Linked DNA regions of Lepisosteus oculatus. The protein of the gene in region 1 purifies or fractionates together with the protein of each later gene. This does not show direct contact. Links are inferred from orthologs where the notes say so. Each region holds a gene or a part of one and is shown in the gene's direction. Other genes may lie near its edges.

Region 1 (7,797 bases):
TGTGGTCTGACCTTCTTTCTCTCCTCTCCTCCTCTTTCTCTTGTCTACCTTTCCTGCTTTTTTCATCTCTACTCCTCTTGTTGTCCCACTTTGTGGTCTTAATGTTATTTTATTTGGTGTACTGCTCACTGACAATCATTAACCCATGACTTAATTAGCCAGGTATACCAAGGTAAACTTTACAATTGCTTTTAATCAGGGGACCCCACATCTTGGCAAACATCCCCTTTGCTTTGTAGCCAAAAGTGTTTTCACTGCCAGGTGTCACAAACTTTCTAAACTCTTATAGACACTTCCTAGTCACCTATAGCTATAACAATATTTCCAATCATTATTTCCCTTTATTACTAAAGTAGCAATTAATACTTTTATACACATAACATCTTGCAAAAATTCAGAGCAATTAATTAAATAACATCAATTTCAATAACCATTGATCTAATTCAGGATTATGGAGGCGCAGTCTACAAAAATCAGCTACACCCTGGATGGGACACGAATAAATCACAGGGCACACATAGACACAATCACACTCATGCTCCACCTGGACCAATTCTTTACAGAAGCCAATTAACATACCAACATGTCTTTGAACTGTGGAAGGAAACTGAAGCACCCAGAGCAAACATAGGTAAAAACAGGTTGAACATGGAAACTCTACGCAGGTAGTGCCCTAGAAACTGAACCCAGACCCCTTACACTATGAACCAGCAATGCTTACTGCTGCTGCCCCCAAATTCAGAGCAAAAAAAAATAATAATCAAGAAGTAAATAAATAATACAAAAGGAATAGGTAAATGGAAAATTCAACCCCTTTTCTGTGGCAAACCTCCATTAAGGTGCAATAAATTAACTTAATGTGCCACACAATCAATTTAAAGCAAAGATTTAACCATGAAGACTAAGAAGCTTTCAAATAAACTTAGAGATAAAGTTGTAGATATGAACAGATCAGGAGAAGGGAATAAAAATATTTCAAGGTCTTTCTAGATCTGACTGTCCCTCCAAATTGAGCAGCCAGGCAAGGTGAAAACTGGTTAATGATGCAACTGCAATACAAATGGTGACTTTGATAGACCTACAGTACAGAGTTCAATGGTTTATATATGAGAAAATGTGCATGAGACAATACCCAGGTCACTCCAAAAATCTGTATTGAATGACAGAGAGGAAAACGCATCTTAAATCCCATTTGGAGTTTGCAACAAAGCATGTAAAGGTTTTGTGGTCCAACAAAAGATGAGAAAATTTGGTCTAAATGCAAAGTGTTACATTTGACACAAACACAACATTGCTCAGTTAAAACTATTCCATTTAGTCAAACATGGTGGTGGAAGTATTACGTTATAGTGTAGTTCTGCTTCTCATCTGGAGATACTGGGTAGCTTATCAAAGCTAATGTGTACATACTTTAAATGGAGCAATATATTGCTATCTTAAAGGAAAATGTGCTTCAGACCTAAAACTAAGACAAAAAATCATCTTTCAGCTGAATAATGATCCAAAGAACAATAGAGTGGCCCACTCAAAGACCCAATGTGAAACTTATTGAGAATCTTTGAATCTATGAACAGATATAAAAGCTGCTGTCCATGAGTAATCTCCAAGCAACTTGTGAGAGCTTAAGCAAATCTGCAAAAAATGGCCAAAAACTGATATTCAGCCATAATTGCTGCCAAAGGTGCTTCTACCATATATTGAGTTCAGTGGTCTGAATATTTAACACAGTCAACATATTCCAGTATTTCTCACTTTAGTTTTGCTAAACATTACTGTAACTTATCTTACCCTTAGAATTTTCCAGGTCTGAAACCTGAAATGATATTAAAAAAATTAAGTTTCAAATTTTGTCTGTAGTTTTGTAATTTCACAAAATGGGACACCATAGGAAGGGTTTGGTCTGTATACTTTACAAAACACTGTATCTTGCCTTGTATGCACTACACTGGATTCAAAGGACATAAGAAAATTTCACATTACAGAGCATAGTCAGGATAAGGTGTGGTAATTACAAATCACTTCTGGATGACACATATGTAACCACAGGCAGGCAGCAAAAACTATAATATTAAAGTAAGTATATTTTTCAAGCATGGCTGTAAATTTATGTTTTCTGTAATAGCAAATTACAAACATTGCCCTGGATTCACTCCCCCTGGACACCTGCACTCCTCGGACACACCCCCCGTCTCCTGACCCTTTTCCTGCATGACTATTTTCCCTATTGTATCCTCACAATTCCGGATCATGTCGTCCACATAATGCCCGGAAAGAACCGGATCGTGACGCAAACTACATGGAAGTCCATTTAAAACTGAAAAAGGGAGACACTTCTCTACCCATAGAGTCGTGGGAGAATAAGCTACCTAGCCATGTGCAGTAGTTGAAGCCAATACCCTGGTTTCTTTCAAAAAATGGCTGGGTGGGATCAATGAACTACTATCAACCAAATTGGACAGAGAGGCCAAAGGGCCTCCAATCATACAGTATGTTACCTTTCCTATGTATTTGCTGTAGTATGTTAATTAAATGCTTAAACACAAAGCCAGAATGTGTAAAAAAGTACTTTCTCTGATCTATTTATATATATGTAAACTTCTTTTTCTTATATTAATTACTGTATTGATTAATATGGGCTGTTTCACCCATAATGATTGGTATTGGCATTGGTTGTGTTTAATTCCTAAATTGTCTCAGTCATGAACATTCCTATCCCACCCACACAACCTTAGGTTTGCTGATCCACTATACTCAGTAATCAGTATTTTTAAACTTGTATTAACACGCATCACACAACAGACTGTGGCTCACAAGGCTTGAGGCCTTCATGCAAGAACACACTGTGCATTCCTTTAAAAAAGACATGAGGTATACAATACTATAAATGTAAAAACAACTGCAAAAATCAAATCGGACAGGTTTATACAATTGATCAGTTCTACATAATTTAATTTCCATTATCGCCATCCATTTCTTTTTCTTTAATGTGCATATGTTTCAGCTCTATTAATAATTTGAAATGATTTACTTGTTATGGAATGTAAAAGCAATTTAGTATGTTGTAAAGAAAAAAGCAACTCCTTCCATCTTAAGGTAATCTAATTATTGTATTTAAGCACAATTTTTCGATTGATACAAATAATAAATTACAAGGGAAACTTCTCATGTATTAATAATATCAGAAAGTTGTTTTAATCTTTTGGATTTCCCATATATTACAACAGCCAATTATGTTGATTGCTGTTACAATTATTCAGAAACGATTAAACTTGTATTATTACTCAAAAGAACATTCAATATATTCCCCTAAACCTATATAAAGTCTTCATTCTGGGAGGTCCTCTTTAGTTTTATGTTTTTACACATTTTGTAATTCTATGAATTGGTGTACAGTAATTTGCAGTTAATAGCCATATACAAACAGTACATACATATGCAGTCTTCTTCAGCGTTTTAGAATCTATTGTTAGATGATGTCCTTACTAAGACTTTTTTCTCAAACATCTCGTTTCAGTTAATCTCATCCGGTTGTCTCTAACCATTTTGCAGGAACTCTTCATGCTAATTTTTTATCTTGGAGAGTAGTTCGAATATTTCTCTGATCCCTAAAACAATTCATTCGTCTCGCTCTGTGTCCAGCTGTTGTATACTCTTATAGCTTATAGCTGTGCTATACTTTTTGTTTTACTTTTTCTTCTTGGTATTCAAAGTATTATTGAAATATAGCTGTGTTTTCTCTCTTCTCTTTTCAGCTTGGAATAAACCTATTACTTGTTCCTTTGCAGACGCAGCTACCCACCTTAAAATATAGCTGATCATTAGGGACTACCAGATGTAAAGTCAATAGCTTTGACGGTTTTCTTCTGACATTTAACAAGAATATATTTGTACAAAGTGTTTATGCCTATGTTTTACCTCCATTTTTGCAAGTAATTCATAACTGAGATAAAAGATCGATGTTTGCTCTGAAAATTAAAAGTATTAAATGGATACTTCTATATCTTTCAAAACAACCGTTTTGCATTCTACTCTTCAGGATTTCAATGTTATTTAAAGCCCCATACTGTTTAAGAAAGTCTAAACAAATATAACAAGGCACTCGTTTTATTATTTTTATGTAAAGGTTAGGTATTACAGTTTACAAATAACGCAGTATAGAACAAATACGTTTGTCCCACCTACAAATATTTGTCAATTGTTAGTTTATATGTCAGGTAAAAGACAGATTCCGACCGTCTTTAAAACTGAATGACCACTCCTTGAAACTGTCGAAAAAAATGCTGCTGTAACCACAGTCCAAGCACTTTATCGGCAAGGTGGTACTTTGTTGGTGACGTTAGGTTTTGAGGAAAAACACACCCCCTCACTAAAGCGGAAAACATGCAACTAAAGTTTATGAACCTTCAAGAAGTTTGTTAGAGTTCAGTCTGCTTAAGAATAGAGCAAGGAAACGCGCTACGACCACTTGAGCTATTTGGATTTCCTGATATTTTCCAGAGATTCTTCTTTGTTCACTTTGTGGAGTGTTGCTGTTATAGAAATGGATTTAATCAGGAGAAACATTCTATTAATTCTTCAGATAATTTTGAGTAAGTCAAGTTTTATACGTGTTTCTACATTTTCTTATGGTATAATACTTTAAAAGGTGAAATGATACAGCGCGTTATACTGTAGATTTTAATACGACAGACTTTTGTTTAACGAACATACATCCATGACTTGAACAGAATAAAGTTTCACAAAACTGGTAGTTAATATTTAAGCCTCAGTACATCTGCAGAATCTGCAGACAGATGTGTTTGCCCTTGGCTATGTTAGTCTGTTTAAAGATTTGACGCATATGTGCAGTAAATGTATCAATAGTGAATGTATACTGTTAATTTATTCGTCGTTTGATACATTAATGTCTATAGTGAATTTAACTGTCAAAGCCATCATATCTAAAAACATAATTGTGGCATTAGACATTTTATAAGGGTATGGTATATTTTGAAGTAATTTGAGTTTTTAATATATCATTTAAATGATGGGCACAATATTTTAATTGATGTGTTGCTTCTGAGTTGGCTTGCTAGCAAACCAGTTTGCAAGATAAATCCTGAAATGTGATAAGAGTACTGTGAAGGGCAGGAGATTCTGTTTGAATGCATTACACGGGAATCCATGCTATGTAAACAAAGGTTCTTAAAGTATTGTTTGCAATAATAAATGGGTTAAATCTGGTATCATGGCCAAATTCAGAACAGAGGCAAAGTCTAGCTAGCCTAAAGTCTTTTTAATGATCCAAATTAAAAGTACAGAAGTTTCATTAGAAAGACTGTTGTGAAGATATTTGGTATTCATGGTTCAATTAAGGTTCTATGTAGATTTTGTTTCTAGGCTATGTAAACCAGGAACTGCAGTTCCAGCTATTATTACCCATTATGCATTGTAGATCACCCTAAATTCAGAATTTATTTTGAAAAACAATACACTTGTGATGTACTGTTTCTGACATGAGCTTTGAATGACAATACAGTGTTAAAATAACACCAAGAGATCTGACTTCAGTAATGGGTTTAACTTTAGCACAACACTGAAGTTACCAACATTTATGTCAGAGAAGCTATATCTGAGTACGGGCACGGGGATAGGGTGTGCCTCTTGTAATAAATTTGGAATTTAAGTTATAATATAACAGTCTGACTGTAATCATTTACTGTATGTGTAAGACTGACTGCCTTAAATCCTATATAGGGCAGTTTATGTTTATAAGACTGTATATGAGCACTTAGTCCTAACTTCCTTCCTTTGTGCATCAGTTTATTGCAAACTCTTGTTAATACTCATTCATGGGATGTCAGGAGCCTAGTTAGGCTAAAGATGAGCACTTTATTCTACTACTGTATCAGAGTCACACGCATGCACAATTTATTAACTGATACTTTAGAAGTTTTGTACGAATTTTGTACGAATGAGATGTTGATATGAATAGGGGACAAGCTTGCCGACTGGGAAGTTGTATAATTTTATGTTAATCTGTTCACTAACCGACAAAAGCTGTGAAAGATATGGACCCACAGAACCATTCTAGCAATGCTATATTGCTATAATCAAATAAATGTACAAATCAGACATCAGTGATACTATGGCAGCTTATAAAGATAAGATTTCACATCAGCAGTTATTTTATATACAGTAGCTGTGCATATAAAAAATAAAACATGAAATTTAACATGAAAAAGCAACAAAGAAACCAATGATATAATGAAATTAATTAAATTATCATAACAATTTAAGGTTTGGCTAAAGCAATCTAAGCTGAAATGTAAAATGTCACATTCATGAAGAAATTGTCTATTTTACACTTTGTGGTTACAGATATTTGTAAATCAATTAATTGAGCTACTATTTAATAAAAAGAGAGGACACCTACACTTAACAACCTCTCCTTTCTGGCAGAGAATAAATGAGATCGTGTTAATATGCTCTCAGTTGCCTGTAATATCATTTTTTTGTTTTTGGTGTAATATGCTAAACACACATGCTAAGTGCATTTATATAGTTAATAACAGCATTATGAGTACATATACTCTATGTATATGTATCTGTATAAACTTCAGTGCGAGGCTATAAGTTACTGTATATCCTTGCATATTTTTTGCCTGGGAATGTTAATAAATAGAAATGCTAAGATGTTTGCCTATTGAATTTCTGACTTGCATACTGTATATGTAAAAGATCAAGTAATACTTTAATACTTTCATACTGAAAAGAGAAGAAAGAAAACACAATGTTGCGGCTGTGGAGCCTTCTTTGGGTGTGAGAAAGACTGGGCAGTCAGCAAAGATTAAATAGCATAGGACAGTTGTTCTGAAACTTTTTGGACCAAGTACAACCCCTGATCAAACCAAAGCATCCAAGTACCACCTACAAGTCATCTTCTCATAGGAACCCCAGAAATTCTCAATGACCAACATAAGCGTGCACGCGCACACACACTCATGCACACATATAATAAATATTATAATAATAAAATTTATTTGATTATAGTGCCTTTAAAGGTGGCTTCTTAAAGTGCTTTACAAAATGACAACAGGAACAATAATAATTAAAAATAAATGATAAAAAAGCACCATTTCAGCGAGAGGAGTGAGCCTGTTTAGTCGAGCAAAGCAGATGTGAATTCATTGGTCGAGCCTTGATACAATTTACAACAGAGTTTAACAGATTTCAAATCCTCTGGCATTTTCTTGACGGCCAAGGCTTCGCAGTGGGTGCTGCAGTGCGTCTACTTCATATCTGGAGCAAACTCTCTAATTCGTGCAACTACATCGCTGTGTCGGCTTGTCATCATTCAAGCACCATCTGTATAAACTCCGTGTCACGACCACCAGCCAGCGGAGATCATCTCGCAAAAGAACTAACCAGTACCAGCAGCGGGTTAATAATAATAACAAGCGCCGCCGCACGTGTTAATCCATCAGCATATACTCTACTGAGCAGTACTATTTAAACCATACTAACATGCTTTCTGCTGCTCGGTATTGAGTTAAGTCCCTGAGAGCTCTACCTGGCGATTCCTAAACCTTGTGTCACTCTGGATTTTGGACTACCCCTTTTGCCTTTTGACTTCTTACCTCGCCTCTTGATACAGATTGTTTGCCACCTGTGTTTGTCCTGAATTTCAACCTACCTTCTCCCTTTGCCCACGATCTCGCCTCTCGACTTGGATTGTTTGCCTCCGGTGTCTGTCTTGGATTTCGACCTTCCTTCCTCTCATTGACCACGATCTCACCTCTCGATTCGAATTGTTTG
Region 2 (8,014 bases), on another chromosome or scaffold:
AGTCAGTTGATTTTGTGACACAAATGACCATGTCCTTCCTCTTTCACTTCTGAATGAAGACTGTGGCTAACCAGTGCTCATTTCCCTAGTAAAACCAGCTATCTGCTGGCATCAAAACAGATTATCATTGGTGCCTTCTCAAACCACATCTCTTTGCTCTGCACCTGCGATTCCTGCATCGTCTACACTGAAATAGACACTGAAATATAAATCTAGCTATTGCTTGATGTCAGCTACAAAAACATCTTTCATGTCCTACTGTGAGTTCTAAAGCCCTAATTACTGTATGTCTGTTATTTATCTTTCCCTTCAATCATGTTACCTTGTTGAACATCTATTCTACTCATTCTGCAACTTGAGCGGAGCTGTAATTCTTATTTTCTTATTTCAAAAGGTTGTGTACTAACATTTGGTGTTAATATTACTCAGTCTCTACATAGAGAAATCTATGTATTTTACCTCTTCACTATAAAAAGGGTCAGAAAATGCCATTCATGGTTAAATTAAGTGGAAACGTAACAGTATCACATGTGCTTGGATGAACAAAATAATATATATTGATGGAAAAAAGAAACGCAACATTTTGTGGAATGAGAATACTAAAGTTATAGTTTATGTACTTTCACAAAAAGGTGTCAATTTGTTTTAAGCCCTCTGACCAGCAATACAGCTTGTGCAGTGAGGCGTTGCAACTTGCCAATCACACAAAAGCTCGTTAGGAGTATTTTTACCCAACGAGGTCCACGTGGAACAATGCCTGATCAGGTCACCTTGAAAAAGGCATTAATTCAAAGCTTAGGTCACTGCAAGAAAAAGGCCACACTTAGTCAGTTTTCTGTGCATTCAATAAAGCCTCGAATGTCACCAGAAGCAAGGGAGAGGGCCATTGGCATGCTGCAGGCAGGCATGTCATGTGCCAGCGTTGCCAGACACCATGGAGTAAGCCGCTCCACTGTGTCCCGACTGCAGAGAAGGTTTCAGCAGACCAGGAGGACAGATGACAGTCCAAGACCTGGTCGCCCTCGAGTGACCACGCCAGAGCAGGACCGATACATCAGACTGGTCCATCTGAGAGATTGTTTCAGATCTGCAAACCGTACTGCTGCTGAAACTGCCGGCAGACACAATGCCCGCATCAATGACAGGGCAGTGAGGCTCCATGCTGCTTAGATCAAGGCAACCTGTCAGAGGCCCTCCGCTCACACCTCCTAGACATCACACCCGACTGGCTTGGGCCAGACAGAGGCTGCAACGGACTTGTCAGCAGCGGCATCAGGTCCTCTTCATGGATGAGCCACTCTTCAGTCTGTTCCACGCAGACGGGAGGGCCAGAGTGTAGAGGAGGAGGTGTTGCATTTCTTTTTTCCATCAGTATATAGTTCTCTACTCTTAATTATCTGTACTGCACAATTTGAGTAAGCTACAGAGCCAGCATCTGAAATTCGTATTTTTCCGAGGTATGTTTTATACATGTGTAATATTGTGAAATGCCAATGTGTCTCCAATGTCAAGAGAAAACAAGGTACTATCCAAAAACTGCTCAGAGCAATAAACTATAATAATCTTATAAAAGCTTCTTCAACCTTCACTAGTAGAATTCAGGTGGGAGCTAAAGCTGTCTCATCAGACTATACTAATAGAATTCAGATAGCAGCTAGAAGTACTTCATCGGACCACACCAATGGAATCCAGCTGTACTGCAGCTGCTTTATCTGACAGCACAGTTAGAATTTGACAGAATTAGGGTAAGGTAAATAAACACAGCCCAGGTAGTCAAAGAACAGTTAACCTGGGCAACAAATGAACCACAGAAGACAAAAATAAAATGTAAACCACATGTAATATTACAAAAATGACATAACCAGATGTGGAATCATCATTATCATCAGCATTAAATTCCAGAAAAGTTCTGGTTTGTTGCTACTGATTACTTTTTAATGTTTTGCAACATGTGAAGTTGTGTTTGTAATGAGAAGAAAGGGATTCATTTGTGATGACATGCAACTCCTGTCACACTGACTTTGTGCCAGTTGTAAATAAGCAATGGAGACAATATACAGTAGTCTAGAAGGGTCAAACTGATCATAATGTGTTTTGAAGCATGCAATTGATTTCCACCCAAATTATATCACTATTAAAGTGTTCACACAAGAAAATGTTATTTGCTTGAAGATAATTCCATGCTAGCATGCTTCATACTAACAAGGGGGGCATCTATGATGTCCTGAGAGCTTGAAGTAAAAGTGTTAGGAAATACATCTGTACTGTATTACAAAAGCACAAAGAATTTGGTTTTAGGGGAGGAACAGAGGAATGAGACTGAGAACAGCAATTCAAAAGTATGTGCAGAACAAATAAAAGATTAGTCCACACTGATGAGTAGAAAGAAGAAACACAACATTTCAGCAGTTGAGCCTTCTCCAGCCTTCTCCTTCACACATGAAGAAGGCGAAACATGAAGATGAACCATTGTGTTTTGTCTGAATTAGTTCACTAACTAGAACTGAATTGAGATTACTGACATAATTGAGGAAAACTGGGGCTCCAAATACTGATCCCTGAGGTACTCCAATTGGAGCATTTACCAATTAGCTCTAATCTCTGTTTCCTGCCTATTCACCAGTTCTTACTCAAAGTACATGCATTACCTTGAATCTTTGTCATATGCAATTTAAGAATTTATCTTTTATGATCGTTTTCGACAACCTTCTGAAATTACAAATGGATGATACCATAAGCTCAGTTTCTATCCATTATTGCTGTTGCGCTTCATAAGAAAGGGTTTCTAAGAAAGCAACATCTTGTAAGTTAGTCTTTTGCATTCTGGAGAATGGACAATTTTCACCAGACTAAAAAAAAAGGTTGCTATATAAACAATTATGGGCGAGGCAGAAGTAGGAAGAACAAAGATATCAACATCAAATATCTCATTTTAAAGGAAACAGTGAAGAGGGATTTTTAAGATATGAATTGCAATTGAAACTTAAGATAAAGAATCACAACATTTCTAGAATGAGAACTGTTATACAAGTAGGTCAAAATGGAAAAACAAAATGCCTTAATGTTTACACTTCTTAGTTCCAAGAGTATACAGTATGAATGGAGAAATCTATTGTACTATGCTGGGTATAGAGTATACACTACAATATAGATGTTCTAAAGTTCATGTCTTGGGTTCTTTTCCCGGTGAATAAATAAGAAACACACTGACATACACAGTAAAGGAACAAGTAAAGGTTTATTCCACGCTGAAAAGAGAAGAAAAGAAACACAACAAAGCACTGCAAAAGGTAAAACGTATCACAATTTGTGACACTGTTTTGACTTACGAGAGTACGAGTAAAACATATTGTAACCAGAATAAATGAATATGGTTTTGGAGTCTTTTTTTTCTCTTTATGGAAGAATTGCTGCTTGCTAACATGATCTTATAAGATTTCAAAAGCGAAGCAGGGTTGGGTTTGCTCAGTATTAGGATGGAAAACGACCTCTAGGGAACAAAAGGACACTCATAGCCCGGTGGGCAGTTCTGTTCCTTGAGCAACAGAATTTCCTATCCAATGCTTCTGTGTGGCCACTGTGCTGAAGGAAGTATCATCCTTAGGGAGAGATGTTAAACTGAGCTCCTGACTTCTTGATCATTAAAGATCAAATGGCACACTGAGTGAGACTTCTTCATCAGCTGTGTAGTGGGACTGCTAACACATAATGGCTGCCATGAGTCAACATGAGCACTGCACTGCAGTGGTAGATGAAACTCTCCTCTCTCATCCTAGCGTTAATCCCGCATCAGCAGGGTCCGCTTGTTGGCACCCCTGTCTCCATTTGGTGGTTTGAACCTAATCTTTGAGCTGACGTTGCCGTTAAATGCGACCGAGAATACTCCAACCGGCGCGTCGCTCTGCCTGCCGTCAGAGGGGGGAGGAGAACAAAGTAATGTAGCCAATTCATAGAGGGGGATTATTAGGAGACATGGGGAATTTGGCCAGGACGCCGGGGTTACACCCCTACTCTTCTCGAGAAACACCCTGGGATTTTTAATGACCACAGAGAGTAAGGACCTCGGTTTTACATCTCAACCGAAAGACGGCGCTTATTTACAGTATAGTGTCCCCGTCACTATACTGGGGCATTAGGACCCATATGGACTGCAGGGTGAGCGCCCCCTGCTGGCCTCGCAGTGGTAGATTAAACTGTTGCCCTCAAATATGTAAACATAGATAATACTTTATTAATCCCATAGGAAAATTGATGAAATTGATTAAACATACTCTTTTGGGAAAAAACACATACAAAAGTAAGGAGTTCTTATTAGAAAACGTGTTTGCTTTGAATTACAACAAAACCTATATTTCCAAGAATATTAAGAAGTGCAAGATTGGTATACAGCATGGTGTGTCATATTCCGATTGATCACTCTCACTGTTGCTTTATCTTTTATTTGTTGCTTTATTGGTTTGGAGGACCAAGAAAAATCGCAAAAAATACCCAATGCAGAGTGATTAAATAAAGAAGTTAACATAATACAATAACAGATACAACACTAGGCACAGCAATTTATACGGTAACCGGATAGTGAATCTATTATTTTCACTTCATATTTTCAATCAGAATCATACCATAATGATGTAAGAGCAACTGAACTGAGGTTATGCGCATTTACAGCTACAATGAAATGCAGAATTTTGGCTGTTACATGCGCGTACCCAGATTTCCGAGTTTTCCCAAGGACAAACCTAGCGGAGCTCATAGCGAATGCGTACAGGTCGAGCTTGTCCAACGATGACGTGTTCGGTATTTCCTGTGGGGGCGGGTCGAAATACAGAGGATGGCCTCCTCTCTTTCTTGTAATCGTGGGAGGGGGTTAGCACGGCTTTAAGGTCATTTTTCATCGTGTGGGGATTTTGTAACTTTTTTAAAAAATACAGTTTTCTTAATAACCAGATCGTGTTGTTGGGCGTAGGTAAAGAGTCTTTTCGTCTGAAGGGTGTAAAATGGAATAAGAAGACAAAGGGGACACATTTTTTGTTTGTTTGAGAAAAGTAGAGAACTAAAGCTTGTTTTTTTGTAGTAAAGGGGAGAGATCAGCTGGATATTTTTGAAAGAAGTGCGAAGGACCATCGATTCCACATATGCTGCATTAAAAACGAATGGTTTAGGTTCGTTCAATGCGTTTTAAGGTAAGGAGGTGTCAATGTCTGCTTAAAGTGCTTGTATGGATATGAGTTTTCGTCTTGTAAACTCGTAAGCCAGTGATGCATACCTGGTGTGTTATATACATATTTGCCGTGTGAATGAAAATGTCATGGTGGGTTTTATGCGGGGCTTTGTGTTGAACTCGGGCGCATGTCTGCACAAATCTTCTTGCCCTGAAGTCCTGGAATGTGATTTGTATATTTTGCGGTGGGGGTGGGCGGGTGGAAGAGCCGTAAACGCCGATTCTACGGTGGTTAAAAGTATTGTGGGATAAAACTGTGTCGTTAGTGCAATATTGCAGCTTTCCCCCCTGTGTTGTATCGACTGTCTGTATGGGGTGAGTACATCCGCTATCCGGTATCGGGGAGGCGCTGGCCCGGGCCCGCATTCCCGGCGGAGAACAGCAGGGAGAGACCAAGTCTTTCTTCGGGAGCCGATCCCCGGATAACGCCACAAAAAAAAAAAAAAGACGACAGACTGGCTTCTCGCCTCGATTCACTTCATGTTTGTAAACCCCATCAAGTGTTTTCCGCGAAGTATACGAATGAAAGATCTTGACCTGCCCTGCAGTAATAAGTTTCCAGAGGGAAACTGGGATGTGTGTTTTACATTTGCCCCTATGGACAGGGTTTTCTTTTTTTCCCCTCAAACTTGTGAAATGTCCTTTTACAGGCGTTGCTTGTTTCCCCCTCTTTTTGCGAATACATCTCGAATTAGTAAATGGTTGAAATGCAGCGTTTTACTACGTTTTTACGCGTTTTTTCTGAAAGTAATAGCCTCTGGCTACAGCTAATTTAGGGAGTGCCTCGTTAGCCAGCAACAGTGCTCCGATTGAGGTTTGAGCTTAGCTCTGCGGCTATTTTTTCAAACCTCTTATTTAGGCGATGCCAGGCGGCTGGGAGAGCACAAAGGAGATGGCGCGTCCGGACGGCCCAAGGAGCAGGCTCTCGAGTTATTCTTGGCACTTAAAGCACTGACAAATAAGGCGAGCTGACTGTTCCGGGGGGGAAAAACACTCTCGGGAACGTACCCGTTTGAGGATACTCGAACGTGGCATTTTCGGTTTTTAATTTTAAGGGAGCGTTAGACGGAGAGGCTGGATTTTTGTATCCCACGTTTAACTCGACGCTCGGAATTTTCTGCCTTAAAAAAAGTAGAAACGCTCGCCGTAAAAGTGGTTAGATCTCACCTTTTTTATTTCGGCAGACTGACCTCATTGCGAAAACAAACGCGGTGGTTAGGAAGACATGCGGCTTAGTTAGACCACTTCCTTATCGCTGGGGTCTCAGGATCAGGGGTTTCAGTAGCTCTAAACTTCTTACTGTAGTCTTGCTGTATGTAGCACCGGTTTTGCTCCATAGAAGTCTGACCATGTGGTCAATTTTCACTTTCTCCATACCACTCAGTTAAGCTTTGTCTTCCTGAAGTTGAGGTGGAATGATCTTTGCCTTATCAGATGTGCAGAATACACATAAACCAAAGATACTTTAGTTATTTTGGTTTACTGTAAAAAAACTTTGGAACAATGACTGCCTGGGTCTTTGGCCTTAGAGGTGTAATGTCCATTGTATATACGCTTCAAAAATGGGCTCTCTTGTTTTTAAATATGACACTTTTTTCATGTTTCTGAACTCGGTATTTAATTAGGTGTTATAATATGTAATTTATCATGGCACATAGAAACACCTGGTAATCATTTAGGTAGTAGGCCGAAGATCTTCTCACTCCTGACCATAATTTGTTTTGTAATCTGGAAGCCATTTGGCCCCTCTTGCTTGTTTGGTAGTGAGTAGCTAATTTATGTGAGGGTTCTTGATATTGGCTTTAAAAGCCCGACAGGGTAGCTTTTTTTAGACTCTCACAAGCCTTGTTGTCTTATGCTGCAACATGGCCTTTCTCACAGGTTAAATTGTGTTGTTTCTGTCGTTGTTTAAATTATATACATAAGCACTGTACACTGTCGGTGTAATTCCCGACAGGATAAACTGCCGCACCGTGGCTAAGGTATTGATGTCTTTTTCCCAGCAGTTGGTTGGTTAACGAGAGTACCCGGTGATCACCTCAGGGCTAACATATTTGGGCGCCGGATGCTTGTGGTTGCAGCCACTGTGCATGAAACTGTGCCAGGCTAGGTGTGCCCCCTTGCTTATTCATTTCCAAAGTACAGCATAGCTCAAGGGTGTGTTACTCTATATGTTGCAGTAAGGCGCATCTGTAAATGATTAGCAGAACTGCGAGCTACAAGCATTTATCAAGTATCTGCAGTGCTATTTCCGAATATAAATATTGTCGCCATGTGGTTATCTTTCTCAGGAGAACATAAATAATTCATATGCTGTAGGAACAGTCATTTTCCGCAATACATTTTTTGTCCTCTGCGTCCAGACTGATATTTAGTCATATCCTAGTCCGCCTTGTTTACTGTTTGAGTGAAAGATTGAATTTATTTCCTCTTTAATGTTTATTATATATTTTTTCGGCTGACTTCTTTAAATGAAACTATTAAAAGGCAGTCTTCTGTTTTACCATTTTTGACACAATATCTTGAAGGGCATTGGTTGTCGTGAGACAGACTTTTCATAGTGCCTTTAACACAGTGAAGAAAGCAGACATTTCTTATGTTTATCTTTTGATTAGAAAGAAGGATTTAGGGGACTATGAAAGGTTATGATTTCTGTAGTAAGAAATGGAATGGTATGTGATCATTTGCAACCAAACGATGAAACTGAAAAAAAAAAGTGAGTCGTACAATTTATGGAGTTACAGGACGGTCCCCAAGGGATTTGTGTGGGGTTAGACGACACAATAAATCTAGCTT

The links.
Region 2: the proteins of itga2.2 (region 1) and integrin beta-1 purify together in Homo sapiens (co-immunoprecipitation; 3 studies listed by BioGRID and IntAct, with this or other methods). This does not show direct contact. The link is inferred for Lepisosteus oculatus from reciprocal best matches to the Homo sapiens genes ITGA2 and ITGB1.

Annotation. Positions count from the first base shown.
Region 1 is NC_090698.1:38,755,793-38,763,589, reverse strand, and holds the start of itga2.2 (integrin alpha-2), read left to right. Parts: upstream 1-4,387; 5' UTR 4,388-4,540; coding exon 4,541-4,589; intron 4,590-7,797. UniProt on the Homo sapiens protein: Integrin alpha-2/beta-1 is a receptor for laminin, collagen, collagen C-propeptides, fibronectin and E-cadherin. It recognizes the proline-hydroxylated sequence G-F-P-G-E-R in collagen.
Region 2 is NC_090701.1:39,146,933-39,154,946, forward strand, and holds the start of integrin beta-1, read left to right. Parts: upstream 1-4,812; 5' UTR 4,813-5,168; coding exon 5,169-5,180; intron 5,181-5,438; exon of another isoform or gene 5,439-5,533; intron 5,534-8,014.